Linked DNA regions of Arabidopsis thaliana. The protein of the gene in region 1 interacts with the protein of each later gene in a pairwise test. Each region holds a gene or a part of one and is shown on either strand. Other genes may lie near its edges.

Region 1 (5,972 bases):
TTTTTGTTTCTGTGTTGTTAAATCTCTATCACTATGTTTTATTTTCTTAAAGCTGATTCAAGAAACTCTCTGAAGCTATTGGAGGATGAGATTTGTCGTTTGAGAAATGAGCATAGTGAGCTAATTACAAGACTAACCGAGAAGCGGTAAACATCGATTGTGTTGTAAACAAGCATTTGTGTTCTTGATCCTCTGATTGATAAAGCATTGCTTATGGAATTTTTTTACACAGGGAAGGTTTTGTGAAGATGTGTTTTGGGTTTCAAAGGGAGATTGAAGACAGTGAATTCAGGAATTTATTGTTGGAAAGAGAGTTTCTCGACAACGAAGTTCGGATGTTGGAGGAGAAGAACTTAGATGTGAAGAACTCTATTTTGGCTTACATGGAAGATGAAATGATGAATCTATTATCTGATTAGTGTTTCTGGTCACATTATCTTCAACACCATGGATCATTGGTGCACCAGAATGGAGGTTCATGTATACAAAAAATATGTTACAAAAAGAATAAAAGGTGAAGTTTGTTATCAACGCCCTAAGATCAAACATCATTTCTTAACGCCCTAAGATCACAGACTTTGTCATCTCATTCACAGTGATCAAATCCTCAGACGATGATTTGTCATCTCTCCTGTGCACTACAAATGTCGGTTGTTCTGGTGGTGGAAGATCTGATGTTGTGGTGAGCATAGACAGCAACTCAAGTGTGTTGGGTCTATCTGCAGGTTGGTGTTGAACACAGAGCAGACCGATCTGAACACATCTCTCAACTTCCAGTGGGCGACATGAATCGGCGACATCTTTGTCCAAGAGATCAATTCCTCCAGTATCACACCAAGATTCCCACGCCTGTTGTTCAGATTCAGGTCTTAAGAATATAAAAGCAAGAAACGTTTTGAGACATTTGCAACTGTATGAATACCTAAAAGTTGTACTTACATATGCAATAAGGGTTTTTTCTTCTTTGCCATAGCTGAATCTTGAGATCTTCTCCCCGCTTATGATTTCTAACATTAGAACTCCAAAGCTATAGATGTCGGACTTTTCAGAAAACATCCCAGTCCATGCATACTCAGGAGCCATATATCCTCTGTGCGAACATCGAATAGTTTCACCCAATGTTTAATAAACGATTATGAGTTTATGACTATGAATCTTGTTAACAATGTTATGGAAAATAGAGTCTTACAGAGTTCCTACAACCCTGCGAGTATTGTCCTGATATTCGGTTCCCTGATACATCCGAGCCAATCCAAAATCTGATATCTTTGGATTCATCTTCTCGTCAAGAAGAATATTGCTAACCTTCAGATCTCGGTGAATAACCTTGAGGTGTGAGTCACGATGGAGATAGTGAATTCCACGCGCAATACCTTGAATGATATCCAATCTCTTTGGCCAGTCAATCTCAAGCCTTTTTCTTGAATCTAAGCGACAATATAGAGTATGAACAATCAGATAAGACAGTTCCATGTAGAGAAAAAGTTGCTGATAGTAAAGGAATGAAGCAAGAAGGAACCCACCGAAGAGAAAGGTATCAAGGCTATTGTTCAACATGAACTCATAAATCAATAGCTTCTCTTCTCCTTCAATGCAACATCCCAAAATCCGAACTAAGTTTTTATGTTGTAGTTTTGAGATGAGTACTATTTCATTCATGAACTCCTCTTTGCCCTGGCCCGAGCTGCTAGAAAGCCGTTTTACAGCAATTTCTTTCCCATCTTGCAGCTTACCCTGAAACACATTGCATAAGGTCATCTGGAGAGCATAAGCAAAGAATAGAAAAGAGCAAAGAGGTTAAAAATTCTCTAACCTTATAAACAGGGCCAAATCCACCTTGTCCGAGTTTGTTTGATATACTGAAATTATTGGTGGCAGTTTGAATGGTATGCATATCAAAGAAATCTAAACCTGGGACATCTTGTGGTTTCAGATCATTCCTCCATGAAACTTGTGAAGCATCCGTTGTTATATCAGCTGAAACTAGTGTTTCAATTATAGATAATATAGGTCATCAGTGTCTTACCAATAGCAAGAAAATGAGTACTGTAAATAAAGAAAAGAAATCAATAGAGAGGGAGTAAGATCATCAGTTTTTACCATTATGTTTCACTCTATATCTCCAGAAACAAAACGCAACAAACGCAATTATCACAACAAGAGAAAGGCTCACAATACTAGCAGTAATGGCCTTCTTGCGCTTATTTCCACCTGTGACATATAAGACAAAAACAAATTAAACAATAAGCCATGCTGCTTCCGGTAAGAAGAGTATCAATGGAGTTGTAGATAAAGTTGTAAACGAAGTAATTCTTCCGTGTAATCATTTGAGCGCCATACCTAGTTCAGAACGTGCCAGACGAATGGAGAGAAGTTCTCCTCCTTCAGAAAATTGCACTGCGTCCATTAGGTCTTGGTTCCACATTAAGCACCCAATTCCATCGATATAAGCAAAGGCCAAGCAAGAACAATTGTGGAGGCAACTTTTCTGGCATTCTTCAACATTCACAAAACTTGCAAATTCGTAAAAGTCTGGAGGCTTTATCCTGGCAACAGGATGGAACACGTTTGCATATTTGCCAGTAGAGTTTCCTTGACAATATAGTTCGGTACGCCTCACACAACCACCAGTCCAGTTTCCTCTTTTCCACTCCTCAATGAGTTTAGGAACAAACCCTTTGAAACACGTACATTTTGGAGGAACAGACTTCACACATAACCCAAAAGGTCCACATACACCGTAGTAATCACATGAGTGTTCTGGAGCCACAAAGTTCAATACCCAGTCCGTCCCATTATGCCAAGACAACTCCTGTGTGCCCTTTGATGTTAGCATTGTACGTTGAAGTCTATCGTTTCTGTTTAAATAAGTGAGAGATCCTGACCCATTTGTATCCTGCTGAACGCTGACTGGACCTGTAAATGTGTCATCCATTAGCGGTATCCCCGTGAACCTTGTTTTAGCCCATGGACCGCTTCTATAATAAGGCGTTGATCCTTTCGTAACAAGCACCTGCGTTGGCACTTGTGGCGTAATCTGAAGCACAAAGTCGCCAACCGATGGATCAGTGTAACTTTTCCAAGAACTCAACACCTGCTTCTCGCCAGTGGCGAGGTTATACTTCAGGGTTGAGGAAGGAAGCATAGTATCACCAAGATGGTCAAAGCTTTGCCATAGAGTTCTTCCCGAAAAATTGTCTATGACAATAAGATTTCCGGTGTCTGAAAGCTCTGCACGAGACCCGTTAGAAACAAGAGCTTCTCCACTGGACCATGCAACGCCATGTTTGCCATTAAATAACAGAAGACTTCCATTGTTGCTGATAGCGAGATTTGCCGTGGAATCTGTAACAGGCTTTTCTCTATTGGCCACCCACACAACCACCCGGGGAATAATACCCTTGAACCAGATTCCGACATACTGATTCTGGGAGTTATTAAAATTGAAGAACCCCAGTTCATAAAAACCATTAGAGGAGCTGAGAGTTTGTCCTATTGGCAAAGGACTTTCTTTCGTTATCCCTGCAGAGCTAGAACTTATAAAGAAGCTAGATAAGAGCAAATAAGCAAAGAACACGATCCACTTCTTCCCCATATTTGTTATTTCTCTCCAAAAACTATCTTTTTTAGATTAGCTTTACATAAAGCGAGAAAGCAAGAAAAAAAAAAAAAAAAACTCTCTTTGCACATTTTTTGTTTTGTCAACTCAGGGACTGACTTGTGAGAATAATACAGAACAAAAATCATGCGTTATTTAATAATCTTTACTAATGTTCCAAAAATCATGCGTTATTTGATAATAGAGAACAAAAGTGTCAAAGCACGAATAAGTCCTTACCCAATCAGATACGCAACGTTGTCATTGTTCAATGCTATCAAGAACAAAAAGAAGAAGACTTTGGTTATCAAAGACTTTAGAATAAGTTACTGCAAATTTTCTTCTATTCCATTCAAAGACAATCATTTACTTAAATACACAAAAAAGGTGTTCAGAAAGTAACTGCTCACTAAACAAATAACAACGTGAATGAGTGGGAGACAATTCCAAGTCCTTATTAGCTCTGCATCAATAATAGAAACAATGCATACATGATAGATTGGCACGAAGAAGTCCTTACCCAATCAGATACGCAACGTTGTCATTGTTCAAGTCCTTATTAGTTCTGCATCAATCGAAAGAATCCAATCCTTGCTTCACCATTACAACACAATAACTTTCTTGAAATGCAGGCTATGTTTTATCTCGTTTAGACATTTCCTCGAACACTTGCAGTGCATAAAAAAAACCTCCGAGCCTCGCTAATGTCGTTAGACCCGTAATGACCCTAATCGACTGATTCCCAACTCCAACCATATGGGCTTAACTGTTTCTGTCCAAAAGAACCGAAGAATTCAACAGTCAACATTGGTGTGCCACTAGGCCCGAGAATAATCTCCCGGGAAGTCTTAAAATGAAGTAGAGTCAACGATTTGTTTTTGAGCAAAGTATTTTGTCAATTTAGTGGGAAGTGGAATCATGTAATCATGCCTAATAAAATATACCTTAGTCAATTTTACCAAACAGTTTCCACATAGATAAAAAGTTTCTGAATAATAAAGGAAGGGATGTAATTTTACAACCATTAGAAATTTTGATCCTTATAGAGAATAATTCCAATTCTACAGTTTCAACGTCCTTGGATCACAGACTCTGTCATCTCATTGACAGTGATCATCGAATCATTTGACGGTGATTCGTCTTTTCTAGTGTGCACTACAAATGTGGGTTTTTTGGGCAGAGGAAGATCTGATGTTGTGGTAAGCATAGACAGCAACTCAAGTGTGTTTGGTCTGTCTGCAGGCTCGTGTTGAACACAGAGCAAACCAATCTGTACACACCTTCCAACTTCAGATGGGTGACTAGAATCAGCAAGAGCTTGGTCCAAAAAATTAACTTCTCGGGTTTCACACCAACATTCCCATGCCTGTTTTTCAGTTTCCACTCTTAAGAATATCAAAGCAACAAACCTTTTGCAACCTCTGCAAATGCATGAAAACATAAAGTCTTACTAACATATGCAAGAAGTGCTTTTCCCTCCTCGCCATAGCTGAAACTTGAGATCTTCTTTCCGCTGATGATTTCTAACAACAGAACTCCGAAACTGTAGATATCGGATTTCTCAGAGAATACGCCAGTCCATGCATACTCAGGAGACATATATCCTCTGTTCAAAGATCAAATAGTTTCACCCAATTTAATATATGACTACCAATCTAGTTTAATATGTTATCAAGGGATGGTTCTTACAGAGTTCCGACAACCCTGCGAGTTTTTTCCTGATATTGGGTTCCCTGAAACATCCGAGCCAAACCAAAATCTGATATTTTCGGGTTCATTTTCTCATCCAGAAGAATGTTGCTGACCTTCAGGTCTCGGTGAATTACTCTGAGGCGTGAGTCACGGTGGAGATAGAGAAGTCCACGTGCAATACCTTCAATGATCTCAAATCTCTTTGGCCAATCAAGTTCGAGCTTTTTTCTTGCATCTAAGTATACAAGCTATCAGATAAGAAATTCCAGATATAAAGGGGAAAACTACACGAAAGGGGTAAGAAGTGACCCACCAAAGACAAAAGTATCCAGGCTTTTGTTTTTCAAGAACCCATAAATCAATAGCTTCTCTGTTCCTTCGACGCAGCATCCCAAAACCCGGACTAAGTTTCTGTGTTGGAGTTTTGATATCAGTACTATTTCATTCATGAACTCCTGTTTGCCCTGCCCAGAGCTGCTAGAAAGACGTTTTACCGCAATTTCTCTTCCATCTTGCAGTTTTCCCTGAAACAAGTTGCAAATGTCATGTCAAGAAATGACAGAAAAGAAAAAGAGCAAAGAGGATAAAACGTTTCTCGCCTTGTAAACAGAACCAAATCCACCAGGACCGAGTTTGTTTGATAGACTGAAATTATTGGTGGCAGTTTGTATGGCATTCATCT
Region 2 (3,455 bases), 2.3 Mb from region 1:
ATTAAACTCGAGATCGTTTGAATTTTCTCGAAATTTTATATTTCAATTCTATTGTAATTTTCGAAAGTTTTACCATTGAAAAAATAGTATAGATGTGATTCACACTACCAAACCATTCATGCTGAAGTTGATTCCATGCTATGGGCAATAGAATTTATAATCTCGATAGGTGTTACGAGTTGCTCTTTTGCTTTCGACCGTGAAGATCTTATCTCTATTGAAAAACTTTCAGTGTAGCCAACATTTGTAGTTGAGATGACGACATTTGGTTCCCTTGTATGTTTTTTTCCCTCTTCTAGTATTAATTTTCTTTCTCGTCGTTTTAATGTGCGGATCGATTGCCTTGGAAAAAGACATGAGATCGCAATAGGTTTTTTTCCCATGTAAGCACGTCGGTTCCTGAATGACTCTCTCTCTCTCTAGAAGAGAGTCTCGTTCCGACTACTTCATAGAAATTATGTTAAGCGGAAAAGAACCATTCATTTGCAATATTTTGAAATTTCAAAAATCTCTCGTAATTTAAAAAATAAAAATCAATCTTTTATTGAGAATAAAACCATTAATCCAAAATATGAATCAAATGCATAAGAAAATGATGAATTGAGTAATTAACACCAATAAAAAGTAAAAGCGCCTAGATCTAAGAACATCTCAGAGTTTGGCCTTAAAACTGCAATCACTAGCTTTGATGTTGATATTATTGTTCGTTGATAAACTATCAACAACAAGCTTACAACTCCCCAATATCCGAATCTTCTTCATCTTCAGATTTCCGAGTTTGATGGCGACAGGTGCATTCACTTTAAGATCTAACGGTACACGTCCTGTTTGTTGTTGCTGCTGCAATGCCGCCAAGACAGTGTTCCCATATTGCGCTCTTCCCGTTAGAGCCACATTTAGTTTAGTTACATTGCGATGTCCTTGATAAAACCTCGGTATAGGGCCTTCACATAGCTTTGTCTTGTCGTACCACACACCGATATGACCTCCTTTCTCGTAATAAATCCCAATCTTTTCGTTGGGATTACGAGCTGTGATCTCGACTTTAAACTCCGCGGAAAGAGAGAGGTCTAGATTGATTCCAAGGTTGGTAACTCGTAAACTGTTGACTTCGTAACTCGGGAGTTTAGGGTGGAAAACAAAGTATACAACCGCAACCGCAATTGCTAACGCGATCAATGCAATGACTAGAAGGCTTAACACCCAACAAAAGATTTTGCAGCACATATTTCGATTCTTACTAGGAATAACAGGAGGCGGAATCGGCCGTTGAACCGGAAGCAAGACTGTCTTTCCGGGAGCTGGTGTTGTTGTCTTCGTCTTGTTGGCTTCCATTTGAAGAACCGGGTGAATTTTTTGTTGATCTCCCATGGATCTACAACTTTGTATTTAGTAATACTAATGCACCAACATGTATTATATGTACTTTATTTTATATCAAAGTTTTGTCTTGTGAAGTTGTTTCCATGCATGACTTTTACCAACATCTTACCTTCCTCACCTATAACGTTGAATTAATCAGAATATATTAGAAAGACTAGAGGTTGTTCAACAGTTACAGTAATCTTTTTGTATTTAATTCGATAATAAAACAAAAACAATAAATCATTCGGTATATTGGTTTAGTTAGGATGACGACTTTGGCAACATTCCAATGTTTTCAACACATATCTTCTTTTTGTTCATCTCTATGTTCAGCAACAACCCGTATAATCAAATTCTTGAGGAAGAATTTGAAAACTACAATTTTTATGATACATTTCATAACTATCACTAATTTTTTTTTTCAAAAACACCACAAAAGGATTTATAATTTCTTTAAATACATTTTATAGAAAATATTTATAAAGTTATATAAGGTTTTATAAATTGATTCTTGAATGATTTTTTTGTAAGCAATCTCAAAAGAAGAAAGATTCAAACTTATTAAGATAGAAACTAAGAACTTAGATAGATTATTAAAACTTTATGATGCAAGGGTACTGATAGAGAAAATATTACTTCGTTGTCACCAAGAACACTATGATTCGAAATTGATACTCTTATTAAGATGAAGGAAGAGAGTTGTTTTGAGAGGACAACTCTCAAACAAAGTTACCTTCCATGGATGTTCTAACCATAAATTTATATGCTTTTGCTAGCTAAAACTCTAGTTCCATGGGCTAATAGACTTCTCAAAACACTCTATCTTAGGATTCTTTTGCATCCTTTTAAAAAAAAAGTCTTTAGTAGTTTATTTTGAGAAATGGAATCGTAAAAGTGATAGATGTCAAAGTTTCCCAATTAATATATAGTCATCACTCATCTACTCTGGAAATTTATGTTAGTCACATATCATCTGATCTATAAAGAGATTACTAAATATGTGGTGGTGCACTCTACGAACTAAATCAAGAGCTTCGTAGTTTTTAAGTAAAACTGAAAATCAGTTGCTAAACGATTTCGTAATTTTACCATATGATATAGTTAAGGATTCGATGGTTTATTTTTTTCCAAATAATAGGCCCATTTAAAAAATCTGTGCCAAAGCAAAACTTTATTACAAGCCCAACCAAAACACATATACAAACATATTAGGGTACCGAATAGGTCAATGAGACATTAAACTTGTGGAGAAAGCTGAAAACTTGGAGGAAGAATGGCGACAGTAACCGATCTACCGGATGATTTGGTAAGAGAAATATTTTCTAGGGTTCCATTGACATCTCTAAGAGCAGTGAGATCTACTTGTAAAAAGTGGAACGCTATATCGAAATATGACATCTTAGGTAAAAAAGCAGCAGCAAAGAATCAGTTCTTGGAGTTCATGGTTACAGATTCTAGGGTTTGTTCTTTGAGATTAGATCTTCAAGGAATCCGTAGCGAAGAAGATTTGATTGATCTATCTATAAAGCAAATAAGTATACCTAATAAAGTTGATCAAGTCGAGATATCTCAAGTCTATCACTGTGATGGCTTATTGTTATGCATCGCCAAAGACAACTCGAGTGTTATGGTATGGAATCCGTATTTAGGGCAGACGAAATTGATTCAACCAAGAAAAAAACTCCACAGATATGACAAGTTTGCTCTTGGATACGACAACAACCGTAACCACAAAATTTTGAGGTTTCTTTATGAGGGGAGTCCAAGAAACGTCATTATTGATGTTTACGATTTTAGCTCTGATTCATGGAGGGTTCTTGATATTGATATAGATTGGCATGAACTGTTTAGTCACAATAGCGTGTCTTTGAAGGGAAATACTTACTTTTTTGGTCGAAAGGGACCACGTTTGCCTATGCTGTTTAAACCTCCATCTCGTCGTTTTGAATATTTGACTCTATCTTGTGTTAGAAATGAGAAACTCGCTGTGTTATACAGCCACCTCAACAGATTTGGCACAATAGAGATTTGTATTTCGACTAAGATTGATCCCAGTGCAGTATCATGGACCACTTTTTTGAGAATTGATA

The links. Proteins that work in one complex are often made in the same cells at the same time.
Region 2: the proteins of AT1G61420 (region 1) and AT1G54540 interact in a protein complementation assay, tested with the Arabidopsis thaliana proteins (one large-scale study listed by BioGRID).

The regions. Positions count from the first base shown.
Region 1 is NC_003070.9:22,660,002-22,665,973, forward strand, and holds AT1G61420 (S-locus lectin protein kinase family protein), read right to left. Parts: upstream 4,174-5,972; 5' UTR 3,596-4,173; coding exon 2,341-3,595; intron 2,212-2,340; coding exon 2,101-2,211; intron 1,984-2,100; coding exon 1,814-1,983; intron 1,735-1,813; coding exon 1,524-1,734; intron 1,428-1,523; coding exon 1,190-1,427; intron 1,091-1,189; coding exon 940-1,090; exon of another isoform or gene 850-939; coding exon 556-849; downstream 1-555. Other genes in the region: AT1G61415 (CAP-gly domain linker), read left to right, coding at 53-146, 233-419; AT1G61430 (S-locus lectin protein kinase family protein), read right to left, coding at 4,668-4,964, 5,054-5,204, 5,288-5,525, 5,604-5,814, 5,881-5,972.
Region 2 is NC_003070.9:20,367,051-20,370,505, forward strand, and holds AT1G54540 (Late embryogenesis abundant (LEA) hydroxyproline-rich glycoprotein family), read right to left. Parts: upstream 1,462-3,455; 5' UTR 1,372-1,461; coding exon 652-1,371; 3' UTR 503-651; downstream 1-502. Other genes in the region: AT1G54550 (F-box and associated interaction domains-containing protein), read left to right, coding at 2,639-3,455.